Coturnix japonica: one gene and its partners. The protein of the gene in region 1 purifies or fractionates together with the protein of each later gene. This does not show direct contact. Links are inferred from orthologs where the notes say so. Each region holds a gene or a part of one and is shown in the gene's direction. Other genes may lie near its edges. The genes, in order: TSR1, RIOK2 and RPS7.

What was found.
Region 2: the proteins of TSR1 (region 1) and RIOK2 fractionate together in Homo sapiens (co-fractionation; 3 studies listed by BioGRID and IntAct, with this or other methods). This does not show direct contact. The link is inferred for Coturnix japonica from reciprocal best matches to the Homo sapiens genes TSR1 and RIOK2.
Region 3: the proteins of TSR1 (region 1) and RPS7 purify together in Homo sapiens (co-immunoprecipitation; 4 studies listed by BioGRID and IntAct, with this or other methods). This does not show direct contact. The link is inferred for Coturnix japonica from reciprocal best matches to the Homo sapiens genes TSR1 and RPS7.

Annotation. Positions count from the first base shown.
Region 1 is NC_029534.1:4,414,337-4,418,069, reverse strand, and holds the start of TSR1 (pre-rRNA-processing protein TSR1 homolog), read left to right. Parts: upstream 1-813; 5' UTR 814-867; coding exon 868-967; intron 968-1,047; coding exon 1,048-1,151; intron 1,152-2,267; coding exon 2,268-2,484; intron 2,485-2,560; coding exon 2,561-2,695; intron 2,696-3,229; coding exon 3,230-3,654; intron 3,655-3,733. UniProt on the Homo sapiens protein: Required during maturation of the 40S ribosomal subunit in the nucleolus.
Region 2 is NC_029547.1:45,706,296-45,709,994, forward strand, and holds the start of RIOK2 (serine/threonine-protein kinase RIO2), read left to right. Parts: upstream 1-880; 5' UTR 881-944; coding exon 945-1,010; intron 1,011-1,408; coding exon 1,409-1,547; intron 1,548-2,419; coding exon 2,420-2,536; intron 2,537-3,506; coding exon 3,507-3,682; intron 3,683-3,699. UniProt on the Homo sapiens protein: Serine/threonine-protein kinase involved in the final steps of cytoplasmic maturation of the 40S ribosomal subunit. Involved in export of the 40S pre-ribosome particles (pre-40S) from the nucleus to the cytoplasm.
Region 3 is NC_029518.1:85,526,583-85,530,312, forward strand, and holds the start of RPS7 (40S ribosomal protein S7), read left to right. Parts: upstream 1-838; 5' UTR 839-991; intron 992-1,585; 5' UTR 1,586-1,592; coding exon 1,593-1,667; intron 1,668-2,060; coding exon 2,061-2,132; intron 2,133-3,596; coding exon 3,597-3,730.

The DNA of each region.
Region 1 (3,733 bases):
GGGAGAATTAATTCCTAATGCTTAAACAGTGTTTATTTGTCACCGGTCTCTTAATTTTGTTACTTCTTTCCTGTCATGTAGGACGTGATCTACGTTGCTTTTACAGTTAGAAGGTCTAGACAGCTTGTTTTAGGAGTAGGTAAGGATTGGTAGAGAGCAGCTCTTGGTTGACCCTCCCTCACAAACCGTTGTGCTGCTTTCTTTGCAGGAGAAAAGAAGGTGATAACACAGTGCTGGGGAGGGTCACGGCTCATTTCTTTTCTCCCCCTTTGCAATCATTCAGTGCACAACAGAGCAACAGCTGCTCTGCTTCCCTCGACTTACTGACTTCATTCCTGGCAATTGCAACACTAGTGTAAATATTTAACCTTTAATGGCTTACCTGCTGGTGTTCTGGGGGGCGGTGTGGGCCTAATGCTTCCAATAGCAAGGGCAGTCGTGGTTCTTAAAGAGATGGTGGGTATGGCAGAGCCTCGGCTGTGCCGGTCAGTGCATAGTGCTGCCTATAGCACACAGGGCTGCAATGGGAGCACGGTGATGCTGCCCAGTGTGTGTATGGAGCAGCCCTAGGCCTGGCTTTGGGCCTCCTGGCTTTGGGCTCCTCCTTCTCAGACCCGGCTCTCCTGATGGGACTTTCCTGTGTAAATATCTGTATAAAGAACTCAATTAAGCGCTGAAGGAACGGCTGGGCGTCCTGCCTGTCATTTCCCCCTCGGGAGCACGGCAGGAGCTCCGCCATACTGTGAGGCCTTTCCCTTTCGGCCGCCATCTTGAATACGATCTCCGCTTTCCCGCCTACGCTCCCACGCACGTCGCCGGAAGTGACGCAAGACGCACGAGCGGAAGTGGTGGCAGCGTGAAGGCAGCATGGTGGCGGCCGGCGCGCACCGGGCCGGTCCTTTAAAACAACAAAACAAGGCCCATAAGGGCGGGAAGCACCACGGGACGGCACAGCGCCGGGCGGGAGGTGAGGAGGGGGCGGCCCGGAGCCTCACTACACCGGGTCCCCATTGTCCTTATCGCCACCTGACCGCCATCTTTCCACAGGCCGAGTCGCTGTCAAGGCCCTGCCGCACCGACGGCGCCGCGATCTGAGCAGGGTGGACAGGCGGCACCAGGCGCTGCAGCTCCGCAGGAAACGCAAGGAGGAGGTGAGGGGTCCGGGCATGGGGGGGTGGCATGGGGGGGAGCTGTTGGACCTGAGAGAGGGGTGGTCAGCAGGGACAGGGAGCTGATCGTCCATCTCTACTCGGCTCTTGTGAGGCCCCATCTGTTGTACTGTGTCCAGGTGTGGAGCCCTCAGTACAAAACAGACATGGAGATTTGGGAAAGGGTCCAGAGGAGGGACAGGAAGATGATCAGGGGCTGGAGCACCTCCCCTATGAGGACAGGCTGAGGGAGTTGGGTTTGTTCAGCCTGGGGAAGAGAAGGTTGTGGGGTGACCTCATTGCAGCCTTTCAATACCTGAAGGGAACCTATAACCAGGAGGGGAGTAAACTCTTCGAATAGGCTGATAATAGCAGGACACGGGGAAATGGTTTTAAGTTAAAAGAGGGAAGATTTAGGTTGGATGTCAGGGGGAAGTTCTTCACTAGGAGAGTGGTGAGGCCCTGGAACAGGCTGCACAGGGAAGTTGTGGATGCCCCGTCCTTGGAGGTGTTCAAGGCCAGGTTGGACGGGGCCCTGGGCAACCTGATCTAGTAAAGGTGTATGTTTGGTGGCCCTGCCAGGCAGGGGGTTGGAACTACATGATCCTTGAGGTCCCTTCCAACCCGGCTCATTCTGTGATTCTGTGAAATCACAAGGTTTATATACATTTTCTTCAGGATTGCTTCGTCCTCTTTTGTTATGTTTCCTTGGTTACAATTAGGTAAGACTATCCCACAAAGACCTAAGGAAATGTGCTGTACATTCTTCTCCTCCTTCGATCTGTGACGTTACTGGATGTTCCTGTTAGAGGCCCCCTTTCTGTTTTCTATTCATTTTCTCTCATCTAAACCTGATTTTTAACATACATTGTGCTTTGTTCCTAAGCAAGATTTATTACTTAGATCCGTGCTCGGGTTCATAAGAAACACAACTTGCATTCCTAGATACGTGAGAAACACAGACTAGGCCTAACTACGAGCCTTAGCATGACTACTGCTCCTATTATTTAAGGCACACTGTAACAATAGGGCGGAGCTGTGGGGTTGCAGTCTTGATCTAGGGTGTGGGACAGGAGCTGGGCTATGGATGGTTTTCACGCCATGGATCTTTTCTTATAGGTGCTGGCAGAAAAGCGGAGCTTGGGCAGCAGGGATGGGCCCCCACACCTCGTGGTGGCGGTGCCGCTGCACAGCAGGGCTGCAGCACACGATGCCCTCCGGCTGCTGCAGAGCCAAGACTCGGTCATTGTCCATATGGATGAGGGAAAAGCCGGCAGCTTTGCTGTCCTCTGTCCCCGGCTCAAGCAGCGCTGGAGGTTTGTGACGGCGCAGGCAGGTGAGGAAGCACTGTTTTAATTGGTCTGAGTTCTGTACCCCCAGCAGCCCCATTAATTGAGGTGTTTTGCTTGCAGGGGATCTGCATGCCGTCATGGATCTAGCGAAAGTTGCCGACTCCCTCCTTTTTATCTTGGATCCTGTGGATGGTTGGGACAGCACAGGGGAGCACTGTCTCTCCTGCCTTTTTGCTCAGGGGCTGCCTAGTTACGGTGAGATGAGAATTCAGAGCTTCTGGTGGGCTACAGGTTGAGTGGGGTGATTGGGGAGGGGGGGCTTATTGTTGCAATTAATAGATACTCTGTATGTATGTTAATAAGTAATCATAGGCCTTTGGGCTGTTCTGAGAACAGGTCAGATAAATTCTATCATATTATTTGACTCTCCTGGTAGGGCAATGCTGGAGTTCTAGGTTTAAGTCTCAGATATATGGCGGTTACTAGTATTGCATTGGTTGTCCAATTGTGCAGAGCAAAGGGAGTGAGATATTTTCTTGCTAAGTTCAGTTCCCAGATCCTTATTTCTTTGGTCACTTTAAGTCTTAAAATCTTATGTCTAAAGACACATTTTCTGTCTTGATTTTTATTTATTATTTTTTAAATGGGTGAAACCACTTTTGTAGCTTGTCTTGTCAGTCTGGTTTTTGGTTATTTGAGTTGCAGGCACTGAAGTTAACGTTAATGCTTTATGAAAGGGGTATAAAGAGGTTTGGGCTCTGACGGGGATCTGTTCTGTGTCCCTTCTAGCTGTTGCTGTCCCAGGGGGAACTGACCTGCCACCAAAGAAGCGGATAGATGCCAAGAAGAAACTCACCAAAGCTATGGAGAAGTGGTTTCCAGAAGTCAAGCTCTTTCCCCTAAACACAGAGCAGGAGTCCTCAGTGCTGCTGAGGCACCTTGCTACCCAGAAGCAGCGTCATCTTGCTTTTCGAGACAGGCGGGCTCACCTGCTTGCTTATGCTGCTGAATTTGTGCCCAGTCAGGAGAGTGACCAGGTTGGGACCTTGAAGGTGTCTGGCTTTGTCCGAGGACAGACCCTCAATGTGAACAGCTTGGTACATATTGTGGGGCATGGAGACTTCCAGATGAGCCAGGTGGATGCCCCACCTGACCCTCTCTCTTTGAATCCCAGAGTGGTTAAAGGAAAGAAGAGTCAGGACATGGATGTGCAGGTTTGTGGGGGATCATGGCTTTGCTGTGCCCATTAAAATAGTGTTTCTAAATTTTCACTTAAAGTATGTTTGGTTATGG
Region 2 (3,699 bases), on another chromosome or scaffold:
AGTAAATTGTTCTGTACCAGTCAACACAGGACAGAACAAAAGCTGATCAACAACAATTATTTAATAGAATCATAGAACAGACTGAGTTGGAAGGGAACCTTCCAGTTCATCTAGTCCAACCCCTATGCTGTGGGTAAGGACATCTTTCACTACATCGCTTTGCTCAAAACCCTGCCCAACTTGACTTCCAAAGGCCACAACTTCCCTGGGCAACCTATTGCAGTGTTTCACCACCCTCACTGTGAAAAAGTTCTTACGTATATCTAGTCTAAATGTACACTATTTTAGCTTAAAACCATTGCTTCTTACTCAGACACATTCCAATTAATAGACTTTCTTATAAAGCATTGTTATAAATTGAAAGGCAGAAATAATTTAATCACACACTCACTGATGTCCTTCTACAAAAACAATGGCAGGACAACAAATCTGTCATTGATTTTACAGAATAAACTATGCTCTCATCATTGCAAGGTAGTATACAATACAGAACAGTGCTACGTATGCAGTAGCATCATTTCCCGTTTAGTAAGCACGAGTTTAGACTGCCTGCTCTCCTTTGGAGTGTTTGGAGGGGGGAAATAATATTCCAGCCTTCCCAGCAAACAGTTTTTCTGTCATTTTGCCTTTTAAAAATCTTGATAAAATAATCTAGGATCCCAGCACGGGGCAGGAATGGTGTCTTTATGCGCTTTCATCTCTTTTAGCCCGAGTCCTCCTTAGGGCAACAAAAGCAGCCCACGGGATAAGCTGCCCTTCCCCACCCCAACAGCCGAACCCGGGATTCGAACCCGCGGCATTCAGCGCACCCCTGACTCACAGCCTCAGGCGGCTCGTGCGCATGCGTGTAGTCGGGATTGCGTTTTCGCTGGGGAAATCTGATTGCGCATGCGCAGCGGTGTGTGGGTCGTGTTGTGCGCGGACGGGGCTGAGCAGGAGCCGCCATGGGGAAACTGAACGTGGTGATGCTGCGGTACCTGACCAGGGAGCACTTCCGAGTCCTCACCGCGGTGAGCGGGGCAGGGGGGGGGCGTCTGGTCACAGGCTGCTCGACTGGCGGCTGTGAAGGTAATAGTGTGTATTAGGGGGAAGTTCTTCACTAGGGGAGTGGTTAGGCCCTGGAACAGGCTGCCCAGGGAGGTTGTGGATGCCCCGTCCTTGGAGGTGTTCAAGACCAGGTTGGACGGGGCCCTGGGCAACTGATCTAGTAAAGGCGTGTGTTTTGGTGGCCCTGCCAGGCAGGGGGGTTGGAACTACATGATCCTTGGGTCCCTTCCAGATTCTGTATACACATGAGCAGTTAAATAAGTTATTCACCTGAGAGAAGTGGTTTGGGCTCGAGGAGGATCTGATGTTATTCAGCTGTTGAACACTGGCTAACAGACCTGTTTTTCATTTGCCCTTTTAGGTGGAAATGGGAATGAAGAACCATGAAATAGTTCCTGCCAGCTTGATTGCTTCTATTGCAAGCCTGAAACATGGTGGCTGTAACAAAATTTTGAGAGAGCTGGCGAAACACAGGCTCCTGGCTTATGAACGAACCAAAAGTGAGTTTGGTTTATGTGTTGGGCTCCTTCTCTCACCTTCCTCATGCTGTAGTACCATTGCTTGGCACACATAGACATCTGGACCACTTGCTAACCTCATTTTCTGTGGGGTATAGCCTGGGAGCTTGGATTTGTTCAGCAATAAATGATATTGCTGTCTGCTCAACTGCTGATTCCAGTAGAGCTCATAGGCAGGAAAGAGGAAAGGAGAGCAGTTAAATCTCCTTGGCTCTATTACAAAATTGATGAAAATATGAAATACCTGTTGGTTAAGGTATTATTCCGGTGCATGCAGAAATCAACCCAAACGTGTTACGATTTTATCATAGTGCACAAACTGGAAAAGACAGTCATATCACCTGCACCTCAGTAGAAACAGTTACTGAAGTAGTTTTAGTCCTTCCCACATGTCAAGTAGCAAGCCCCTGCCCATCTCCTTCAACCTTGTAGTTGCATCCCACTTTTGAGTTTGCATGAAATTTCTTCCCTTTTTTTTTCTCCATTCTTCAGCATTTTAAGTGTTGATTTAGAGCCTCACAACAATCCTGAATCCCTACTACATCTCCTAGGTAATTATCTTCAAAAGTAATGCCATTTCTATGCCATTTGGAGTATCATAACTGCTTGTGCCATTGAGGAGTTGATAATACGGCTTTTAATCTTTTATACAGTTAGCTTTTCTAAGAGTTGCAGGAATTTAAATGTTCCATCAAATTTGGCTGATACTTGCCAAGAGGAAATGTAGTACTTGAGTGTTTTATACCATAAGCTGGAACAAGAAACTAGACTTAAAACTGGATTTTGTTGTTGTTTTTTTAAGGTACTGTGTCCGTAACAAGGAATGAAATGTTTTATAATTTGTTTTTATTTAGCGGTCCAGGGCTATCGGTTAACTAATGCAGGATATGATTACCTTGCCTTGAAAACTCTGTCTTCCCGGCAAGTCATCAGTTCTGTTGGAAACCAGATGGGTGTTGGCAAAGAATCAGGTAATTAAAAAAAACTATGTAATTTTTATTTGTTTATTTATTGAAGGAAGCATGTCAGTATTTTTGCTTGTATTTTGATAGGAACTTGGAAAATGTATCTCTGGATAGTCATAGCATTAAACTGTCACACACCAAGATCTGTGGCTCCTTTCATGAGGCTTTTGACTGCATCTGATTTATTTATCTTTTAATTAGTAAGAGCATTGTTCCAGTTTGACTATTTTGTCCAAATTTTGATTCATCGCTTAAAAAGGTATTTGCTGACAGATGCTAAATGTCTCGTACTTTGTGAATAATTTTGAACTATTTTATTAAAAAGGTAACTTCAATTTTTATGTTCCACCCATAAAATAAAATAACGTAAAATACAATCAAAACTATTGGATTGCTGTCTTGGTTTCACTTTCACGTAGGCTGTAATTTGGCACAGCCTGTCTCGCTCATCATTGAAGAAAGAGAGTTGTTGTAGACAAATGGTAGAAATGAAATATGAACTAGTTGTTAAAATCAAGAGGTTGGTCCCTTGGGATTTGCTTCCAGTCAGTGGAGAGTAGGCAGCTTTTCCAGCATGTTATTAAGAACACAGGAGCTTGACATACAACTGTGTTTCCTTGTTAGGGAAGTTTATAGTCCCACACTGTGCAGGTGGCCTGGAGAAATACCAGTCTATCCTGATTGTTGGATCCTGTAGTCAGAGAACTTGAATTGTCTCAGTTTTTCATGCCAGTTACTTTTACCTCTTGGTCTGAAAGATGTTTCAGATAACATCAGTATTTTTACTAATGGAGAACCATTATCTCTTCAACAAAAATTTTTTCCATCTTATGTCACTAACAGACAATACATAAATGTAGCTCTCTTTACTGTTGGACTAAGTGTGGTAGACCTTGCTATGCCAGAAATACTTTTTCATTATGGACTTGTCAGATACCAATTATTTCATAGATCTGTGTTGCTATTCCTCTTCTAGATATTTATATTGTTGCAAATGAAGATGAGCAACAGTTTGCAATGAAACTGCATAGGCTTGGAAGAACTTCTTTTCGCAGTCTGAAAAATAAACGTGACTACCATAAGCACAGGCATAAAATGTCATGGCTGTATTTATCCCGGCTAGCAGCAATGAAGGAGTTTGCCTACATGAAGGTAGGTGGCCATTTGCA
Region 3 (3,730 bases), on another chromosome or scaffold:
CTCCCCTCTCCCCTTTGGTTGGGTATTACAAGTTACAATTTTACCCGAGGTTTGCATTTGTTAATTACATTCTGAAATTTGTTAGTTCACTTGCTATCTTGTCAGTCGCCATCCTGCTGTTTCTGTTTCCAAGATGTCTCGGTACTCTTATCGTATTGATATGTTGATTCCCTTCAAAGCTTCTTCCATTTTGTCCCAGATGCCTTTGTTAAACAAAGATTCCAGTCCTTCCCGATATCTCTTCAGGCACATCCTTAGGTATGTCACGACTTGTATTTTTGTACAATAAAACATTAATACATACATTGTTGCTAGTTTATACAGGCATATTGTTAATTATTTTAACTTCTCCTCTTTGGATCCTTTATTACTCAGGTCTTATTTGTCCAGCACCAAAAACCAGTAGTGTCTATTTCAGACAGCTGGACAGACAGGAGCTGCAGTCTTTGTAGCTGTGATTTCTACCTAATAACTACAAATTCCTTTACTTATATAATGAGACCTTGAAATAAAATATTCTTATCTTATTCTAAATGCAGAAACAACATTTGATTCCCACAGAAGGATCATGTAGTTCCAACCCTCCTGCCTGGCAGTGCCACCAAACATACACCTTTACTAGATCAGGTTGCCCAGGGCCCCGTCCAACCTGGCCTTGAACACCTCCAAGGACGGGGCATGCTGACTGAGCTCCCTTCCAACCATGGCCGCCCTGTGACCGAGCCCAATCCCCAGCCTCCCCCCTTTCCTCGCCGTCCAGCAGCTGATGATGACCTCATCAGCAGGCGCCACGCCAGTACTTGGAGAGAGAGCCCTTTGTGGCATCACGGTGCCGGAAGCCATCCAGAATCAGCATTGCTCCGAACGATTCTCTCTGCCCTACTTCCTACTTCGGCTTCACCTCGCGGTGGGCGTTGCGAGCGCCTCCCGGGCCGCGATCTGAGGCGCTCTCGCGAGAGCTCTCCCTCTTCCTAGGCCGGCGCTGAGCGAGGTAGGAGCTCGGGCCTCTCTGGGGCCTGGTTGCCGGTGCTTGTTTTTCCCCAGCCGCCGGGGCAATACGGCTCAGGCTGCCCAGCGGCGGCTCCCTGGGCCTCGTCGGAGGGGGATGCTTCGGATTAGCGCCTGCCTGAGGCCCGATGGTCGCGGGGCTCTTGGATCTTGGGGAAGGAAACTGGCGGGGTTCTCCGCCTCCCTGCTCTGGTCGCGCCCTGGAGGAGGCCGTGACGGCGGAGCGGCGGGGCGCGGGGCTGGAGCGGGGGGCTGGGGCTGGGGCTGAGGTGCGGATCCTCGGTGCCGGGAAGGACGCCTTACTTGCTGGCGCGTGGGCTCCGTGAGCGCTCTTGGGATCTTGCTGGAGCGTAGAGCACACGCGGGTGCCGCAGTGTGCTCTACCCGTCCCTCCTTACCCGTCAGGTTTTGGCCTTGCAGCGGTCAGCTTACCCTGCAGTGTTGTGAGGGGTTTGCACAGCCCCTGAGATTGTCCTTGATTTCGTTTTAAAGCGTGTGGTTGAAATCCAGCACGTTACTCTACTTGTAGTGGTGGACACGTTCCCAGTGGCAATTGAGACGTTCTTTTGCATTGCAGAAAGGCCATGTTCAGCTCAAGTGCAAAGATTGTGAAGCCTAATGGTGAAAAGCCAGATGAGTTCGAGTCTGGTATATCCCAGGTATGTGTGTTTTCCTTCTGTTGTTCAGTAACCCTGTACGGGTTGTCAAATTAGTGTGTTGACAACTCTCTAAAGCTTAAACTTTAAGGCTGCTGCTTTCTAAATGCATTTCTTTTCTTACTACCCTGTTAGTCTGCCTTGTGTTCTTGGAATTATGGGATGTTGTAGAATGGCTTGGGTTGAAGGGGACCTTAAAGCCCATTCTGTTCCACCCCCCTGCCAGGGGCAGGGTTGTCATCCACTAGATCATGTTTCCCACCAGTTGAGTGTTGTTGCATATGTCAGCGTGGCCTGCAGGGAAAGAACATCTACGTCACTGATTGTGCTTTATTCTCAAGGGTTATTTATGAATTGAACTGAATGGATTTTTCTGCAACTTTCCTTTTTTTTTAGGCTCTCCTGGAGTTGGAGATGAACTCTGACTTAAAGGCTCAGCTGCGGGAGTTGAACATCACAGCAGCTAAGGTAGGCCAGGTGTTCTTGGCAAAGTATTGCTATGCAGCTTGCTCTCTGTTCATTTTTGCAGATGTTATCGTGCTATGGTTGTTTCACTATGTGCTGTTGTAGTATATCTTATACTTGCTATCAATGCAGAGCATTCTGTAATAGCTTCTTGTTTAGGAGTCGGTTTGAAAAGTCACTAGAACTTAAAACGTCAAACTGTCATTCAAGTAAGCATGTTTAGAATGAGTAACTTGTGTTTCTGCAACCTGGACTTGGGGTCTGAAAATGGCTTTTTTGTGTGGATATTTGCTTAGTAGGTATGTTTGACATATCTCGTGTTGGTCAGGGGCATAAACAGTAATAATTCTGGTAGAGTTAGCTTATAGTAAATGCTGTTTTAGACAACAAACAATGGATCAGTGGTGGGTCATTGAAGTTGACTGACTTGATGATGTGATGTGGGTTGGTTTTGTTTAAAGTTTAGTTTGTAGAGCCAACTGAATCCGTAGAGTAGGAAAAAAATCTATAGAATTTGTCAGGCAAGGAGACTGGATAGGACTTCTGAGGCTGATTGCTGTAGCCAGAGTTAAGCAGGGTGCTTTTTTGTTCTTGCCCAAGCCCACTGACATACATGTAGGTGTAAAGGCAGAAAGATCACAGAGCTGAGTTAGGGTGTGAGAATGCAGGGGTCAGCTTGGTATATAAGTTCACTTCACTGAAGGGGCCCTTCAGAAGATCTGTTCTGCTGCTGAAGTCCAGTGCACACTGTCTGTAGTGAGTTTTTAAACAATGTTTTAATTTACTAAGCCTACTATAGCTACGTGGTGTTACTTATGGTGACACTTTTGTGGGCATTTGAATTAACTTATGTGGGAGCATAGCTGGTGAAACACAACTCAGCTTTCTGCTCTGTTGGAGAATGAGCATCTCCTATGGACCTAACCACAGGGGTAAGTGCCTTGTAAACTTCTGCAATTTCCTTACGTTTTGAATAACTGCTGAAGAAAAAAAATACAAGGAGAAGAATAATCTGTAGGTATGATGCAAGCCTGTTTATTGGAGGTGAAGAGGAAGTGTTTTGAGTAGTGATGCATGCCTTGGTAAATAGTGGATAGAAGGTGATGCCATGAAGTGGTTGCTCAAAACCCAGCAGTTATTGCTGTAATCTTTGTCTGCATTAGAAACTTGGTATCAGCATGTGGGTAACGTTTCAGGTGTGATGGTAAGCATTCAGTATGGTTAGGATTCTCACTCATGAGTTTCATCTTGTTTTGCTGTAATGCATATACTTACAACAAATGCTCTGACAGAGGTTTTTCTGTTTAATTCTTGTTCATAAATGTGTTAAAATAGGTACCTCCTGGTGCTCATTTCTTAGAAAGTTGTAAGTAAGGATTTCAAATGTCCCTATTCAGGGTATTGATGATCAAAGTGAATGTTCCTTCTCAATCCCTAGGTGATGTTTAGTTTCTACTTCTCTTTCAGGAAATTGAAGTAGGTGGTGGCAGGAAAGCCATCATTATCTTCGTACCAGTTCCTCAGCTGAAATCTTTCCAGAAGATTCAGGTGCGGCTAGTTCGAGAGCTGGAAAAGAAATTCAGCGGAAAGCATGTGGTGTT